Danio rerio: one gene and its partners. The protein of the gene in region 2 interacts with the protein of the main gene of each other region in a pairwise test. Links are inferred from orthologs where the notes say so. Each region holds a gene or a part of one and is shown on either strand. Other genes may lie near its edges.

Region 1 (4,685 bases), on a different chromosome or scaffold from region 2:
CATTTTGTAACGTGTGTTAATTATTAGCCTGTCAAATTTTAATTATTTAAAAAATATTTCCCATGTGTTGTTTAACAGGGAGAGATTTTATTCATTTATGTATTTATTTTTTATTTCAGTAGTAATAAGGGCATATTAATAACTGTTCTAATTTGTAAATGAGAATATGAAATGTAAGCATTGGGTTAAACAGAGGTCTGATCAGGAACGAAAACCCTCAGTCAATAATCTGGTGATGGTAGATTAGCTCTGAGCTCCATCTGCTGGACAACAGACTGTAACTGTCATCCTGAAAAGCTAAATTGGTATGTTCACACTATAAAAACACTTAATCGTGAGACAAAATTCATTACAGTTCCTTAATGGTTCTCAAAGTTTTGGCTCCAAGACTTCATTTACAACATTTGGATGACTTTCAGTTGTTTAACATGTTAATCAGTTAAATGGGGCTTGGTATAGTTATGTATATAGTGTATACAACTATACACTACTATAATCATAAGCTGTATACTAAAACATAATATATATATTTTAGATATTTTTAATGATTTCCAACATCTACAAAGACAACATAAACAGTTGTTAATGTGTGGATTATAAAAAAGTTTTTATTTAACCATTTTAAATTCTCAAGGCTCCCTTAGAGTGACACGGTGGCTCAGTGGTTAGCACTGTCTCCTCACAGCAAGAATGTCGCTGGTTCGAGCCTCAGCTGGGTCAGATGGCAATTCTGTGTGGAGTTTGCATGTTCTCCCCATGTTCGTGTGGTTTTACACTGGGTGCTCTCCTTTCCCCCACTGTCCAAAGACATGCTATAGGTGTATTGAATGAACTAAATTGGCCATAGTGTTTGTGTGGGTGGGAATGTCAGTGTGTATGGGTGTTTCCGCTGTGTAAAACATATGCTGGATAATTTGGCGGTTTATTCCACTGTGGTGACCCTTGATTAATAAAGGGACTAAAAGCCAAGAAGAAAATGAATGAATGAATGAATGAATGAGGCCCCCTTAGAATTTTGCTGCCCCCTGGTGGAACACCACTAGCATAAACTAAATGGTCTCAAACTTAATTCCTGGAGAGCCACAGCTCTGCATAGTTTAGTTTCAACCACCTCCAACTCACACCTCTCTAGTAGTCTTGAATACCTTAATTAGTTGAATAAGCCATGTTTGATTATGGTTGGAGCAAAACTGTGCAGAGCTGCAGGCGACCCTCCAAGAACTGAGTTTGAGACCCATCTATGCTGTACAGCTTTTTTACTTCATCTTATTTGCCTTGGTGCTAAAAGGTTTGTTGGAATCACATTAGAGCTTACATGAGGACATACTCTCAGAAAAACAGTTTCAAAACACATTTCTAGTGGCGAAAGAGAGTACAGGAATCACACAATGCAAGTAAAAACGCTTCCAATATATCTGCGATATTTAGGATTAGATTATTGCAGATAACATTGCCACCCAAAAAGACTAATTAACAAACATAACATTGAACTAAAATGTTTATAAACAATTTGAACTGATTAACAGGATTTTACTTTTCGATGGCTAAATGATCTCCTCCTTGTGGAAAAATAATTATAATTTCGTTCACAGCGAAGGATTCTGTGGTTGATTACTGAATAACGGAAACTATTCCCAAAATATGGGTAAGGGGAAAAGCAAATCAGGGAACCTCAGAAGAAAATAAAAATGCACAAATGAACGACGTGACCCCTTTAACCAGCCTGTGTCACGTGACTCGACATCTCCGGACTAGCCAGGATGAGCGCAGCCAGAAAATGGCGGATATTGAGGAGTTACGGGTAGGCGAAAGTGCAATGATAGCTGGCTACTTCTTTGCGTCTTTCACATGCTGAAGGCATTTTGCAGTTGACGTTATGTTATGCTATTATGCCCGTCCGTTGGCCTTTGATGCGTTAGTTTCTTCATAGTTAAAAGAGAAACGCGACATCCCTCCGTTATTCGGGTTATGGTTAGCCTGTTAGCCACCAACCCGCTACTCGTTTAGCTCTCGAGATGCTACACAAACGTTGAAGATCAGCCTCAAAATGCCACTGCTTTTATTGCCACCATTGACTGCATGAAAACGCTTTATTATAATGCCTAACTGAACTTGACGACTGTTCGCTTCAGGTAAAAAGTTTTTACGTTCTTCACTGCTCGACTTGTTTTGGCTGGTCTTTTGTTAGCTAACGTTAGCGTCCGGCAGCTATTGACATTGTTTACATGTAACTTACACACAGGTGATGCTTGATTTATTAGAAGTGTTTGCAAGGGAGACATATGTTTAATCCAGCGTGTCCAGAGTCTCTTTGTGCGTGTAAATGAAAGTGAACGTGCGTTTTATATCATAATTGCTAAGTTAAACAATGGAAAATATACACACTGAGAATGTTGTTTACAAGCTCTAACTGTAAATAGTTTGCGGCAAACAAAACAAACTTGACTTCTGTTTCATATTTTCCTCAACATAAGCACTTTAGTAGTGTGATGCATACATCACTTTTCTGAAATTGAACGTATTCAGCTCCAACAAACGTTAACCATGCCATAAGAAAGGTATACTGTGTGTACTGGATACGTTAATGTTAGACACTTGCTGTTATATCTGTCATTACATAACTGACTGATTCATGCTGTCCTGTAAAGTGTTCAGAATTGTCCAGATTTGCTGTAAACCAAGTTTCCCGCCAGCAGTTCTGTTGATTTCTCTTGAGATCAACGTGAACATCTGTTTTGTTCTTTGTCATGTTCTCGATGTTCATCTAATGGGTCTTGGAATTATTCTCAACATTTTAGATGCATTTCGGTCATTTGTTAAGGATTATTAAAGAAAAAAGGATTAACACGTAAGAACAATCAAGCATGGACCGTGTAATGAAGGGTCAGTTGAGATTTTCTTATTTCTTTGGGGTTTCTTGAAAGGGTGTTTTTTGGGTGGGCTGTCACCTCACTTCACACATAATTCTTTGTTAATTAATCTGGTTACTAATTAAATGACACTTTTTGGTTTAAAAAAAACTGTCATAACCATTTTCCACAAGCTTATGCCATGTTGATTTTGATGCAAAGGTTTATGTCTTGCTAAAATCTTAAAACAAAAGTTGTAAAAGTACACAAAATGGCATAGAGGGTGGTTATATTTACTAACCTGTGGCAAATGTATTCTTACTAATGTGTGGTGTTTCTTTTTTTTTTTTGTTGCCTTGTCTGGATTTATTTTTCAGAATATGGTATCAAGTTTCCGTGTCTCAGAGCTCCAAGTACTGTTAGGTTTTGCTGGAAGGAATAAGAGCGGTCGCAAGCATGAACTTTTGCTGAGGGCTCTGCATCTACTGAGGAGTGGTTGTAGTTCTGCAGTGCAGATCAAAATCAAAGAACTGTATCGGCGGAGATATCCAAGGACATTTGAAGGTCTTCAAGATTTGGCGGCACTAAAGTCAAGCATTAAATCCTTCATTCATCTGGACAGCGGTGCCACGGCTGTAAGCTCAGATCTTACTCTGCCAACCGACCATTCAGACGTCCTGCAGCAGCGCCGGGAGAGCTGTGATTCACCTGTGTTTCATGAGTCAAAGCCCATGATGAACATGCAGCAGCCCACGACACTAATGGCCCCCGTCCATCCGGATGTGCAGATGAAGTCCTTACCGTTTTACGATGTTTTAGATGTCTTGATCAAACCATCAAGTCTAGGTAATTGTCACATGCTTGGTGAAATAAACAACAACACAGCAAAAAAATAAATAAAAAAAATCAATGCATTCACATTATAACTTTAAAGTTTAGCAACTGACTTTAGTTTTGGTGGTTTTGCAATTATTAAAAAGTTTTGGGTCAATGAGTTTTTTTTTATTTTTATAGATCAAAAGCGATTGTAATGACAATTTCAATTAAATGAAAAATTCACATTTTAAGCTGCTGTTCTTTTGAACATCTTTTGAAAAAAAAAAACATTCCACAAATATTAGCACAAGCTGGTTTCAACATTGATGGTAGTATATAATATATAAAAATAAATTGATGTTTTTTTTTTGTTGCATCAAATCTGCTTATTTTTCTTATAAGACTGAAGTCTGCAGTAATGATGCTGAAAATTTAGGCCATGTCCACACTAATGCGTTTCATTTGAAAACGCATATTTTTGTCTCCGTTTTGCCCTTCCATCCACACTGAGACGTGTTTTTAGGAAACAAAAACGTATCTTTTTGAAAACGCTCTCCAAAGTGGATAAATTTGAAAAAGACTTTTTCGTGTCGTAGTGTAGACTGTGAAAACGGAGTCTTTCGAAAACGATGACGCGTTTTTTGTCATGTGACACTCAGTCATGTTACTAATTCGTTTACTTTATTTTCGTTGTGATTATGATTTTAGTGATGTCGTCCTTACTGTGAGGGTAAGCAGCGTCATCAGCAGGATACTGTTCTTTAAAGCGGTCCAGTATATCGGCGTATTTGTTTTGGCACGTCTCCCAGTCTACATTTCCACTCTCTTTTGCAACTTTGTATTCATGTGTTACTCGAAGCAGCAACTCTACTTCATTGTCAGTCCATTTAAAAAACTATGTGCTTTTCCTTGACATTTTGCAGCAACGTTTCAAAGAGCCGGAAAGAAAATAAACGTCAGCCGGAAATGACGCTTGACGAAGCGTCTTACGTTTCACGCATGCGCAGTACAGGTTAAAAG
Region 2 (4,044 bases):
ATATAAACAAATGACCCAATACTGTATTTTTCATGGTCATGTATATAGACCTCATGTTAACCACAAATCAGCCATGATGTGCATGGAATTTGTGGCAAAACTGTGGATAAAGTAATTCTAATCAGGTTAATACACCTGTAACGTTACTATAATAAATATATAGTCAACATGATATATGTAAATATGTATAGTCAACAGGCCACTAAACTCGTTCTCTGGTGTCGAGCGCCACCTGCCGCCCAAAATCATCCACACAGAGAAGACTAGATTCAGTTTATTTATTTAATCATCTTTTATTTATAAGTATTTTTATGATTAAACCCATACATTAGGATATATTAAGACACAAAAACTCCACAAACACCGTGTGGAGGCAGCTCGATGCCCTAAAATGTGTGTAACTTAAGCTTTAGTGTTGAGTCGCAGCAGCTGAACACAGAAGTTCTAGTAGATTAAAGCTGTTTCAGTCCAGTGTTCAGAGTTGAAGTTCTGCTTAGTTCAGTTCAGTGTGGTTAAATCTACACTGCTGAGAGTCCAAACAAACACTGAAGAGCAAATCCATCCACAGCTCCACAGGTCCCGAACCAGACAAGCCAGTGGCGACAGCGGAGGAACAAACTTCACCAATTGACCAAACTACACCAGTAATACAGAAGTAAACAATTATATTGGTTTAACACTTCAAAATGTATATAATTACAAACAAACATTCAAAAAGTATCAACCAAGCTGACTGTGCAGCGACGGATTCATTCCGGTCACACTCAGACAATATTAGTTCCGCTTGACTTTCGTTCCGCGGCTCCACGAAACTGAAGCAAAGCGCGTCATGAGCGGCGAAAACTCGCGTTCAGAAGCGCTGCTTCCGCTGAGAAACCTCTGGAACTCGGTGAAGTGCAGCAGGGATCGAGTGAGAGGTATGGTGGTCCTGTATTCCGTGTTTCATTGTGTATTTGAGCAGTGTTTGTGGGAATGCTAACGGCTAAACTTCCAAAACACTCACGAAAACACTTTAACCGGTGATAGTTAGCTGCTCAGAGCGCTAGTCATGATGTTTACTCTAGTTGAACAGATATAGTTAGCTGGTCAGAGTGTTACGCTAGTTTAACAGATATAGTTAGCTGGTCAGAGTGCTAGTCATGATGTTTACTCTAGTTGAACAGATATAGTTAGCTGGTCAGAGTGTTACGCTAGTTTAACAGATATAGTTAGCTGGTCAGAGTGCTAGTCATGATGTTTACTCTAGTTTAACAGATATAGTTAGCTGGTCAGAGTGTTACGCTAGTTTAACAGATATAGTTAGCTGGTCAGAGTGTTAGTCATGGTGTTTACTCTAGTTTAACAGATATAGTTAGCTGGTCAGAGTGTTACTCTAGTTTAACAGATATAGTTAGCTGCTCAGAGCGCTAGTCATGATGTTAACTTTAGTTTAACAGATATAGTTAGCTGGTGAGAACACTAGTCATGGTGTTTACTCTAGTTTAACAGATATAGTTAGCTGGTCAGAGTGTTAGTCATGGTGTTTACTCTAGTTTAACAGATATAGTTAGCTGGTCAGAGTGCTAGTCATGATGTTTACTCTAGTTTAACAGATATAGTTAATAGTAATTTGAATGAGATGTTGTCAGTGATGTGCTGAAGCCCACAGTGTTTCTGATTGTGTTTGCAGATGGAGAGTCCAACGACAGCAGCGGCACCTTCAGCTTGGCCAACTTCTGGGAGATTCTGAGTTCGTTCAGTGTTTGATTCTGAATCTGAATCATGTTCTTCTGAATCGCTGAATGACTCACTCCAGCTCTTCTCTTTCCGCAGATGAAGCTGTAAAAGCAGTGTCTCAAGAAGCGACTAAACTCAGCCTGATGTTCTCCAAGCCGCCACTGCCGTCAGACGAGGTGTGATTAACCCCCTTCTGAACATCACTATAACTATCCTGTCATTTGTCCATCAGTAATGCTGCTGCTGCTGTTGTGTTTCTTCGCTTTAGGATTGTGCAAAAATGGGGGATTGTGTGCAGAAGAGTGTGTTGACCTTGTGCACCGTTTACTTCTGGCTGCCAAAGAGTCAAGGTAACAGATATACACATACACACACACACACACACACACACACACACACACACACACACACACACACATGCTCAAGCTGTAAAAATGTATGAAATAAAAACACTATCGTAAATATTTAGTGCGTAATTAAGTAATTCTAAAAACGTAAAAGAAAACTGAGCGTAATCATAATTTTACAAGGATACTGAAGTCCAAAATCAAAAGCAGTGCAGTGTTCTGTGGTGTCTGTGTTCAGTATGAAGCTCTTCTGGAGCTGCTCAGCTGCATTTGCTCATTTGTGGATTACACAAACCGTCTCATGACCTCTGACCTGATTATTGAGAAACTCATTAGACTGTGTATGTGTGTGTGTGTGTGTGTCTGTGTGTGTGCGTGTTTGTGTGTGTGTGCGTGTGCATGTGTGTTTCTGTTTCTGTGTGTCTGACGTGTGATTTTGTGCAAATGTGTGTGTTTTTTTGTTTGTGTTTTCTGTGTTTGTGTGTGTGTGTGTCTTTTTGCATGTGTGTAATGTATGTTTGTGTCTTTTTTTCTGCATATTTGTGCATGTTTCTGTGTATGCGTGCCTGTACATGATGTATGTGTGTTTTTGTGCATATTTGTGTATACACGTGTCTGTACATGATTGTGTGTTTGTGCATGCATGTTTGTGTTTTTGTGTTTGTGCATGTGTGTGTGTATATATACACGTTTTTGTGTTTGTTTGGTTGTGTGTATTTCCGTGTGTATCTGTGCCATTTTGCATGTGTGTGTATTTGTTTATGTGTGTTTGTGTGTTTTTTTTGGTGCATGTTTGTAAATGTTTCTTTGTGTGTGCGTGCTTCTGTTTATGATTGTGTGTGTGTGTATGTTTGTGGATATTTGTGTATGCACGTGTCTGTACATGATTGTGTGTGTGTGTGTGTGTGTGTATATATGTTTTCGTGTGTGTGTTTGCGCGCACGTGTGTCCAGGAGTCACACTGAGGAGGTCTGTCAGGGACGCCACCGCTGAGGTTCTGGAGGGTCTGGTTCAGCTGCTGGATGTCATTCTGTCCTCACCTGGACAAAGGTAGAACTCGTCCTCTGAGGCCCTCGCTAGCTGTGTTTCCATCCACCTGTTTTTATGCACATTTTGGATTATTTCAGAAAAAAACACTTAATGGAAATCCAAGATGTGCATACATTTTGAAAATGTGCATAAAGTGAGTAGGGTAAACCTTGTGTCCAGTGAGAGAAACTGCAGATAAGCTGTGCTGTGATCAGCTGTAGTGAGTGTGCATGTGCGCCAGCGCTTCATCAGTGTCTGCTCTTCAGTGCTGTATCAGGATGATCAGATGATGATGGGATATAGTGATGATATGATGATCAGTCTGTGTTTATATACTGTTTAAACAACCTGTGTGTGTTTATAATCTGTCTGTGTTCATTTACTGTGTTTACATTCTCCTGTGTTCCCCCAGTGTCTCGCAGGAGCAGCTCACCTCCACCGGGAGTGTTTGGGCCGCATGTGACCATTTTGACCAGATACCCAAAGGTATCTAGAAACAACTTGTGCTGGAGTCCTTCAGTTCCGTCCATCATTATTTCTATAGCGCTTCTTACAGTGCAGATGAAGACTAGAGAATAAAAATGCATACAATATTTCAGATTGTCCGGCAGAGATGACTAGTGTTGCTAGTAAATTAAAGCTGCTTCTAAATCTGTAAGGTTGTGCATCCACATTCAAATGAGGGGTGTTTTAGTGCATGTAAAGCAGTCTCTGTGTGGCTCATTGAGACATCAGTGTTGTTTTGTAATAAAGCTCCTGCAACAGCAGTCTTGGGTTTGATGCCAGAGGAATGCTGGAACTGCTGAGCTGTGGGAATGCAGTCAGTTCTGCCAAACGATCATTTTTGTAAAATAATTAGCTCATCTCTGCAGGTGATGTGCACACATTGAGCTTTAAACACTGCAGACATTATACAGAGATGTGTCTAAATTAATATGTAGTTAACAAATGT
Region 3 (4,571 bases), on a different chromosome or scaffold from region 2:
AAAATAAACAATTATTGTGCTTTAAATTATATTTGCATATTGAATGTAAATCTTTACATTGTACATTGTATTGGAGGAGTGAATGGAGTGTAGGAAGCAACTCAAGTTGAACACCTTAATGATACAGATTTTTTTTTTCAGAATAAGGTAAATAATTAGATACACATGTTATTTACATTATTTAATTATACAGATGTTCACATAAATGTAGAAATACTTAGGGCTGTGTTTTTATTTCAAACAGTCAATGAGCTCTATTATATGGACTTTTAAAGGATATACTAGACTGAGACTCTGAAGAGAAGGCAAAATGGGGATGCCAATGAGTACATCAGAGGGTTTCTTAAAGGGGCATTTACCACATGATGGGGTGGACAGCAATTTCAAGGACACGTGCAAAATGATTAATAATATTATTAAAAAGAAAATTAAATTTATTGAAATTTATTTTTTTGTCAAATAAAGACTCTGTTGCATACAGTCTGTATTAATGATATTACATATAGTTCAAGTTCCAACACTTAAAAAAATATATGAAAGAAATTCCCCAGAGCACATTCTCACTATCACCATCAAGATATCAAATTTCTTTCTCTCTTTATTTCAACACACTCGCAAAGCTAAAACGTTTGTTCGTAGTTTATAGGTTTCTGGTTCTAAATTCCAAAATCAAACTTTCTGTCAGCTTTCCGCGCATAAAGTAGGCTACATGAACGTCCTTACATTTAAATGAAAATCGCTGTCATGATTGAATTTCCAAGTAGCACAGGCTATTATAATGTTCGTAATGTCTGTAAAGAGCTTTAATTTGTACTGTACCCTACCTGTTCGAGGCTCACACACGCCGTCCAATGGATGGATATGATCGCCATTTCTTATAAACATTCACTTCCTTTACCTCACTTTCTGCAAAGATGAAACTAAGGTTTGATAGTGATTTATGTCGTGTCGGTTTTCCTGTCATGTGAAAATACATTTTTTCCCCCAGTGACATCTCCTGATGACTTAGATCAATTATAATACGTTTACGTCAGCGCAAAATCTGTCTAATTTGATCAGTTTACATACTGCAAAGCTGCGAGTAGCCAAAGTTTTGAAATGAAAATGTATAGTATATTTTGCTACTTAATTTATTGTTTTACTGTTTATTTGGCCATTTTATTTGTTTTGTGATTTTTTATTATTAATATTATTATTATAAAGTTATAATTTTAAGTAAAATGTGTTATTTGACAGGCTGTGTTGTTTGATCAGTTGGATTCTTTATCTGTTAAAGTCGCTCTGGATAAAAGCGTTAATTAATTAATAAATTAATAAATAGATTAATTGATAAATGTATTTATTTATTTATTTGTTTATTTATTTGTTTATTTAAAAATTATAGTGTTTCCCTCCTGAACACTGTGCGGCGATATCGAGCTTAACAGCTACGTTTTTACAGAAAACCACAGTGAATAAAAAGCACGCGTGCGTAAGCTGAAGTGAGCAAGTTATTAACACGTTTAGCCATAAATATAGCCCGTGTTTTTTAGCAAAATGGTACGTAAATTAAAATTTCACGAGCAGAAACTCTTGAAGAAAGTTGATTTTATTAACTGGGAGGTTGACAACAATATACACGAGGTTAAAGTGTTGAGAAAATACCATATTGAGAAGAGGGAAGATTATACCAAGTGAGTAAAGAAAATGCTTCTATCAATGACTGTGTTTCTCTGAAGTTATGGGTCTAATACATCACTGTGAATAAAACGCGGCTTATCAATTAATGCATTCGTGATTTCTCTTTAGATACAACAAACTTAGTCGAAATATCAGAGAATTGGCGCAGAAAATACGGGACTTGGACGCAAAAGATGGATTCAGATCTCAGAGTACAGCCCTTTTCTTGGAAAAACTGTAAGTTTGGGAACCTGTCACATTTTATTGTCATGAATATACAGAAATTGTTTTAGTTTAGAATATATAAAAGCATAAGCGATAATAGACAAGTTTATTTATATAGCAGATTCCATACACAAAGGTAATCTAAATACTTTACATAAACATGAATAAAAGAAAGAAGAAAAGAAAAACAGCAAAGAATAAAAATGATTAAAAACAGGTTTAAAAGGAATCTTATGAACTTTATTATATTTAAAGTTATTTGTTTGTTTGACGAAATTTAATTTGTATTAAATCTTAAGTCTATTAATGTTATTTAATAATTCTAAATCTAACTATACTCGAAACAAGATTTTATTTCTATACAAACTATTGTAATACATGTTTATTAGCGCTATCTGTAAGTCATGGTAAAATTTATGATAGATAAAATAGATGTCTTATATTTTTTGTTCAGAATAAAAATTGTACAGTAAATAAAATGTGAATCTGTATATTATTCCGATTTTTAAAAGCTTGTTGACCTTGGTTTTTTGTGTACACCTCATTCTGTAAGGAGTTTACTAAAGTTTTAGTAGTTTCTACATTTGTAAGATTTCTGTTTTGCAGATACAGTGTCGGTTTGATTCCCACCAAACAGAACCTCTCTCTCGCAAATGAAGTGTCAGCATCTGCATTCTGCAGGTGAGTAAAGTTACTGTGCTTTATTTAATTATTCCAATATGTTGATTTGATAATCAAGAAACATTAATTATTAATGTTTAGGGTCCCCATGCTTTCGTGGACACCAGATTCAAAGACTTATTAAATCACTAATCATTTTAAATTAAGCACCTTTAAAATTTGCACCTCCAGCATACATACATACATACATACATACATACATACATACATGCATACAAACACATATATAGTGCCATGAAATAAAGCCCTTCATGTACTTTAGAGTAATGATGATGTTTTGAATGTGCTACTCTGTTTTAAACAGTCATGTTCAAAGAACTTTAAAACAATTTGATGAATTCAATTCTGGTAATCTTCAAAAGCGGTTTCTGAAATATTGTTGTGCATTATTTTTCATAGTTCTTGTACTAGATTTAAATGTAAGGTTTTTAAATAAAAAAATTCTTTTTTTGTTGTTGTTGAGTTTTTGAAAGCAGCACCGTACATTTGTTGAAATGACACCATAAACTTTCAATTCAAACATTCAAATTTCAATATATTTTTTGATTTGAATAATAAAATAATTTACACAAGTCCTGCACACTGACAACTAATATGTGAGTGTTTTTATGCAGTGCAGGAGATGCAGACAATTTTTGAATGTTGTTCAATGTTGTCTTTTCTACAGGAGGCGGCTTCCCACAATCATGCTGAAACTGCGCATGGCTCAGAACCTAAGGAACGCCATCACCTTCATTGAGCAGGGCCGTATCCTTCAATCACAAGTCTTGCTGATCTCTGCATATGTTCATATTCTTATATTTAAATGGGTGGATGATGTCGTTTTGATCAAAATCAGGCCAAAAGGAAATTAGTTTGGAGTTTAAAATGGCTAGGCAAATTGAAGTTTCTGGAAAAGTTGATTCACCTGCTAAATGCCTCTAAACTGCTCTTGTTTACACCTGGTCACTACATGCATTTTTTCTGTGATCGGATAGCTAAATGGCCCTTAAAACGCATTTGAGACTGATATAAATCAGATTTGCTTAGACCATTTCCTATGGTGGTTTCCAGACAAAACGTGTCTAAATGAATTTCCTAAAATTGGTTTAGAAAAGAGGGGATTAAAGTCAAAAACCTGACTTCAATGAGCCGAACTAAACATCCACGCTTAAATTGGTTCCATATCAGAAAGTTGAAGATCATTTGATCTAACTAATCTGAGTTCAGTGTAAATAATGTAGATAGCTGTTCGTGCACATTACTGTCGCGAAACCCTGAAGGTTGAGCATAGATGCATCCTAGAGATAGTTGTGTGTAAAAATCCCTATAGCTCAGCAGTTTCTGAAATACTCAGACCAGCCTGTCTGGTACCAACAACAATACCACGTTCAAATCACTTAAATTACCTTTCTTGCCCGGATTCATCAACCGGTTTGCAGCTTTAAAGTCATTCTTTAAGAAATGTAGCCTACTTCTTTATATCAGTCAGTGCTTTCTTAATATATTTTTTATTTAATTATGTAATTCATATGCTACATAAATATAGCAAAGTACACCCCTCACAGATCAATATTTTGAATTAATATATCTACAAAATGCTTTATGTTTTTGCATATACATTAAATTATTCAGTACCAAAGCAAAATTTGGAATAAATCTAACAACAAATAAACTAAAGATCACAGTTCAAAAATTTGTACACATAATTAATATGTTGAGAGAAAATATCAAGTAAAATTTTAATTAACAGGACAAAAATCAACATAAACATTAAAAAAATGGAGTTGATGTTGTAGTTTGTATTTGTCTTGTTTGCAATAATGTATATATTGTTCTTTTCTTAAAGATGTTTGGTGTATATTAGGGATGTAACGGTATCAGAATTTCACGGTACGGTAATACCTCGGTATGAATGTCACGGTACGGTATTTATTGAATCATTTACAGAAAAAACAAAACTTATGAAAATACTCCAAAAAAAGTGCCAAAAGTGTCAATGACATACAGATTAGTCATCTATCTGT
Region 4 (4,598 bases), on a different chromosome or scaffold from region 2:
ATAATTATAAAATATATATAAAACACTTTTAAAGTATTGTATTTATGTGCAAAAATTAAAGAGCCTAATTATTGTATTACTGTATTTGTTATAGACTTTTTTCTTTCTTTCTTTTCAGATTTTTCTCTTAAACTGAATTACAAATAAAATATATACATATAATCCAAAAACCTGCCTGGACACCTACCTAAGACATTTCACAAGAAACTGATAATATTCATATTAGATTATTACAAATATTCTTACCTTCTGTCTTATCACTGCATTTAGTTCTGTAGATGGATGTGTTGTGATGATGGAGGCATATTGCTGTAATAACAGTGGAGGTGACTGAACATTTAAAAAACAACCCTTATCTTACTTCAGCACATGCATTACATCTACGTAATTTGCGCAAAACTGCACAGCTTTGGATTTCCTGCGTTTGATTGGCTGTGGAATGTAACACAACTTCTGTCTGGTGTTCTCTGATAAAGGCAGTGTGAGGACTGTACAGGTCCACCCCTGACATGTCAAGTCTCCCCTGCAAGATGCATTTGAAGTGATTATTTATGGAAATAATATTTGTTGTTGTTGTTTTAATCCCTAAAGGTTTTAAATATATAAGACATAAAAGGGTGAAATAATACAGACCAAACTGTCTTCTCTTGTTTATTTAAATTTCTAATAGGGTTCCATAGCTAGGGTCGAACAATGTGGACCTGTTAGTGATGTGCTTGTTTGTTTGTGTATTATTTATTTCAAATGAAGTAAATTATCTGTGTTTGTATATTTCTAATCTTTACAAAACTATAGCTATCTTCAGCAAAGTATAACCATGTGACAGCAGCAGTCTAGATAGAGGTTAAGTTGGTTTTATATACGGAAATTCAGATATTCTCATTAATAATATAATTTCAGAAAGTATTCTTTGCAAATTCCAAATAGGGAAATCATATTAGCAGCAAATGACTATCAAAGTACAACATGGTTCACAGTGAATTAGATACTAATAATGTTGTTTAGAAGTCATGCTTGCATGCTAATTCAGATCGAACATTCAAAGTAACATAGTAAACTATGGTAATCTATCTAGAATGTTGTGATTTAATCCTTACAAAATTTTATGTATGCTATATGCTACTTGTTTGAGCTTATCCAAACAATAGAATGTTTTAAAAGCGAGTAGTTGTCATCCATACATTGTAATGCATAAAAATAGTATTTTAAATAATTTCATAGTTGACTTAAAGACAATAAAGCTGAATGTTAGATAGTTTCTCTTTCTGCTACTGTTATTTCCTCCCTAAATAAACTCGAAAAACCTTAATTCAACTGAGACTTTTACTATTGTGTGGGCTGCTATTTCGGGCTTTTATTCTAGGTGGTTATGCTGGATTTATGAAGTTACTTCCGTTTTCTGAAGCTAGCTACTCGGCGGCTATCTGCAGGCGGAGGCAGAGCTCTTCTCACCAGCGTGTGTCCTGTTAAACTGACAAAACGTCTTACGCAATGAGGTACGAACTGATTTATCATTTATAGTTAAACAATCTTTTTGATTAGGTTATAAACCGAATTATAGCAAAATACTGTATGTTGTGATATTTTATACATTTTTTTCAAAGATGCTAAGCTAACATGTTAGCATGTTCTGCTAGCCCCTTTGTCGGTTTTTAATCAATACAGTAACTAAATAAACACTTTTATTAGTAAAGTTTTTCCGGTTATAGTCATAATTCTGGATTTTCTATACATATTGTGTTATTTGCAAAACGATGTGTTCCTGAAAAAAAAACCGAGAGCGTTTATGAATGAATGAACGCCGTGCTTTTATTCGAACAATACTGCTATCTAATTTGTGATATTTATTTTTTTATTTGGGTTTTAAATTAAACTTTAAAAAATCCAATTTTGGGTTATCGCTGGACATCATTATTTATTTATTTGTATTGCACTTGCTGAAATTACGTTTTTATTTCTCAGAGGAGATCGTGGCAGGGGCCGAGGTGGCCGGTTCGGCTCCCGCGGAGGTTTGGTCCAAGGGTAAGATTTCATGACCATATTGTTTTGACCCCCTTACTTAAATTTGGTTATATTGTAATAATTTTGTAACCTGTGACTTCTCTTGTCTCAGGTATCGGCCCTTTGTCCCTCACATACCATTTGACTTCTATGTTGTAAGTACATTTATTGCTTTTCTGATTTGTGGGGAGGAAAAACAGCCTTTTTAAGCCCAGAGCTCATGACAACTTGCTTTTGTACAGTGTGAGATGGCCTTTCCTCGAGTGAAGCCGGCCTCTGATGAGACTGCTTTCAGTGAATGTCTGTTGAAGAGGAACCAAGACCTCAGTCCAACCCCCTCTGAACAGGTATGGTCATAAACTATTATGAAAACTGCACACTCCATGACTTCTGCCCTTTCATGCTAAAGGGATAGTTCACCCAAAAATGAATGTCGTTGACATTTACACTCGTTCAACTTGTTCCAAGCCTGTTTGAATTTCTTAATTTGGTTGAACACACCAAAAAATGCTGGTTTCCCATATTCTTAAGAATATCTTGTTTTGTGTTTAACAGAAGAAATTCGTTAACGTTTAGTACCCCTTGAGTGGGAGTAAATTATGGAATTGTAATATATATATATATATATATATATATATATATATATATATATATATGAGCAATTCCATGAAAATGTCAACCTTGCCATGAAAAGAAAAATGTTTTTCACCAAAATAGCGAAACCGTTCCTACATTTTTTGCGCAGGCAAGTGTTTTACAGTACTTTAAAAATACTTAAAAATGTCTCTGTCAATGTTTTCAAACTAATTTATTTGATTTACCAAAGTCAAACAAATGGCAATTTCACATCCGTCACATCCATAACGAAAAAGTGTCACATCCATAGCAAAGATTTTCCCTCAAAAATGCAAAAATGTCAAAATAAAATAAAATAAATCAGTTTTGTTCTATAAAGAGCCAACTCTTATCCTTTTGTTGAGAATTATTTATTTTAGGTTGTGCAGTTTAATTCACAGATTTTTTTTAACGAAATAAGTTGTATACTGTAAACTCGCAGACTTTTTTTGTCACATCCATAACACTTGTTTATTTTCCTCATTTAAAGTATAAAAATGTTCACAGATTGAATTTTTTTGATCCCAGAACTCTGTGGTTAGTTGTTTTGGAAAATATAAACGGATGATTCAATATAATGTTAAAATATACTTTCTCTGCAAATTTATGTTTTGAATTTTTACTGCAAATGTCACATCCATAACGCTGGAATCAGCCCTATATATATATATATATATATATATATATATATATATATATATATATATATATATATATATATATATATATATATATTATATATATCCGATAAGGTCTCAACATCCTCTATTAATTTTTAAAGATTGTGAGCTGTTACACATTTGGTTTTGACCTAGAATAGATGCATAAAATGTGATATTGTATTAGGAGTGCAAAAGCAAACCAATTTTTGATTGCATTATTAACAAATTACAGCAAATTTTTTCTTCATTTTTGTCACAGGCTTCCATTTTGTCCTTGGTCACCAAAATTAACAACGTCATTGATAACCTAATTGTGGCACCTGGAAACTTTGAAGTGGTAAGATATTTCAGTAAAACATTATTATTATTATTATTAATGCCTTTCAAAATATTTTATGTATATGTTTTTAGACTTATTTAATGAAAGTTTGATAATCCCTTTTTCAGCAAATTGAGGAAGTAAGACAAGTGGGCTCCTATAAAAAGGGCACCATGACTGCAGGACACAATGTTGCTGACCTTGTGGTTATCCTGAAGATTCTGCCCACCTGTAAGTCTTGAGATTTCTATGAGGCCAACATGTTGCTCCTAGCCCAAGTGTACTTGGTTTATCAGTAATGTTTACGTGTTCTTGTTCAGTGGAAGCTGTTGCCGCCTTGGGAAACAAAGTTGTTGAGACCCTGCGAACCCAGGACCCTTCTGAGGGTGAGTATAGGCTTTAATCTGGCAGACCTGTAGTTTCAGGGAGGGAAAAAAAATCCGACTTGCTTGCCATTCTCACTGATGCATTTTCCTCTTCTCCCCAGTGTTGTCCATGCTGACAAACGAGACTGGATTTGAGATCAGCTCTGCCGATGCCACAGTAAAAATCCTCATCACCACTGTCCCACCCAATCTGCGCAAACTGGACCCAGAGCTTCATTGTATGTCACACTCTTTTAAACATTGATCTTGTTTGTGACTTGCGTTAAAAAATGATAACTTTTCTTGGAGATGTAATCTACCTAATTATCACTATAGCACTCTTTATTGTCAGTACTGTGCACACTTGTTTTGTCTGTTTGCATTTAGATTATCTTTCTATGATTTAATGGCCATTAACAATTTAACACTGATAAGAAAGTCTTTACAAATGAAAAAACGTCCCCCCCCCCCATTATATACATTTACAATTTTCATTTATTTGTAAAATTTTAAGCAATTTTATTGTTAATACTTTTGTTTTTAGTAATTTGCAGAGGTTTAGTATTGGGAATGTATTATTATTATTGGCCATAGCAGATATAATAATAATAATACGGATTTTACGGCCAGGTTCCC

What was found.
Region 1: the proteins of ccndbp1 (region 2) and pias2 interact in binary tests that used the Homo sapiens proteins (3 or more experiments, as listed by UniProt). The two-hybrid records come from large-scale screens. The link is inferred for Danio rerio from reciprocal best matches to the Homo sapiens genes CCNDBP1 and PIAS2.
Region 3: the proteins of ccndbp1 (region 2) and imp3 interact in binary tests that used the Homo sapiens proteins (3 or more experiments, as listed by UniProt). The two-hybrid records come from large-scale screens. The link is inferred for Danio rerio from reciprocal best matches to the Homo sapiens genes CCNDBP1 and IMP3.
Region 4: the proteins of ccndbp1 (region 2) and ilf2 interact in a two-hybrid assay, tested with the Homo sapiens proteins (2 studies listed by BioGRID and IntAct). The two-hybrid records come from large-scale screens. The link is inferred for Danio rerio from reciprocal best matches to the Homo sapiens genes CCNDBP1 and ILF2.

Annotation. Positions count from the first base shown.
Region 1 is NC_133180.1:42,368,035-42,372,719, forward strand, and holds the start of pias2 (E3 SUMO-protein ligase PIAS2), read left to right. Parts: upstream 1-1,742; 5' UTR 1,743-1,777; coding exon 1,778-1,801; exon of another isoform or gene 1,802-2,132; intron 2,133-2,798; exon of another isoform or gene 2,799-2,883; intron 2,884-3,226; coding exon 3,227-3,695; intron 3,696-4,685. UniProt on the Homo sapiens protein: Functions as an E3-type small ubiquitin-like modifier (SUMO) ligase, stabilizing the interaction between UBE2I and the substrate, and as a SUMO-tethering factor.
Region 2 is NC_133181.1:63,059,171-63,063,214, forward strand, and holds part of ccndbp1 (cyclin-D1-binding protein 1 homolog), read left to right. Parts: intron 1-763; exon of another isoform or gene 764-829; coding exon of another isoform or gene 830-917; intron 918-1,669; coding exon 1,670-1,729; intron 1,730-1,812; coding exon 1,813-1,892; intron 1,893-1,984; coding exon 1,985-2,066; intron 2,067-3,016; coding exon 3,017-3,113; intron 3,114-3,504; coding exon 3,505-3,578; intron 3,579-4,044. UniProt on the Homo sapiens protein: May negatively regulate cell cycle progression. May act at least in part via inhibition of the cyclin-D1/CDK4 complex, thereby preventing phosphorylation of RB1 and blocking E2F-dependent transcription.
Region 3 is NC_133177.1:10,337,174-10,341,744, reverse strand, and holds the start of imp3 (U3 small nucleolar ribonucleoprotein protein IMP3), read left to right. Parts: upstream 1-1,439; 5' UTR 1,440-1,536; coding exon 1,537-1,673; intron 1,674-1,788; coding exon 1,789-1,896; intron 1,897-2,490; coding exon 2,491-2,565; intron 2,566-3,232; coding exon 3,233-3,312; intron 3,313-4,571. UniProt on the Homo sapiens protein: Component of the 60-80S U3 small nucleolar ribonucleoprotein (U3 snoRNP). Required for the early cleavages during pre-18S ribosomal RNA processing. Part of the small subunit (SSU) processome, first precursor of the small eukaryotic ribosomal subunit.
Region 4 is NC_133194.1:40,099,468-40,104,065, reverse strand, and holds the start of ilf2 (interleukin enhancer-binding factor 2 homolog), read left to right. Parts: upstream 1-1,401; 5' UTR 1,402-1,491; coding exon 1,492-1,496; intron 1,497-1,962; coding exon 1,963-2,022; intron 2,023-2,113; coding exon 2,114-2,156; intron 2,157-2,243; coding exon 2,244-2,348; intron 2,349-3,537; coding exon 3,538-3,615; intron 3,616-3,725; coding exon 3,726-3,828; intron 3,829-3,917; coding exon 3,918-3,983; intron 3,984-4,084; coding exon 4,085-4,201; intron 4,202-4,598. UniProt on the Homo sapiens protein: Chromatin-interacting protein that forms a stable heterodimer with interleukin enhancer-binding factor 3/ILF3 and plays a role in several biological processes including transcription, innate immunity or cell growth.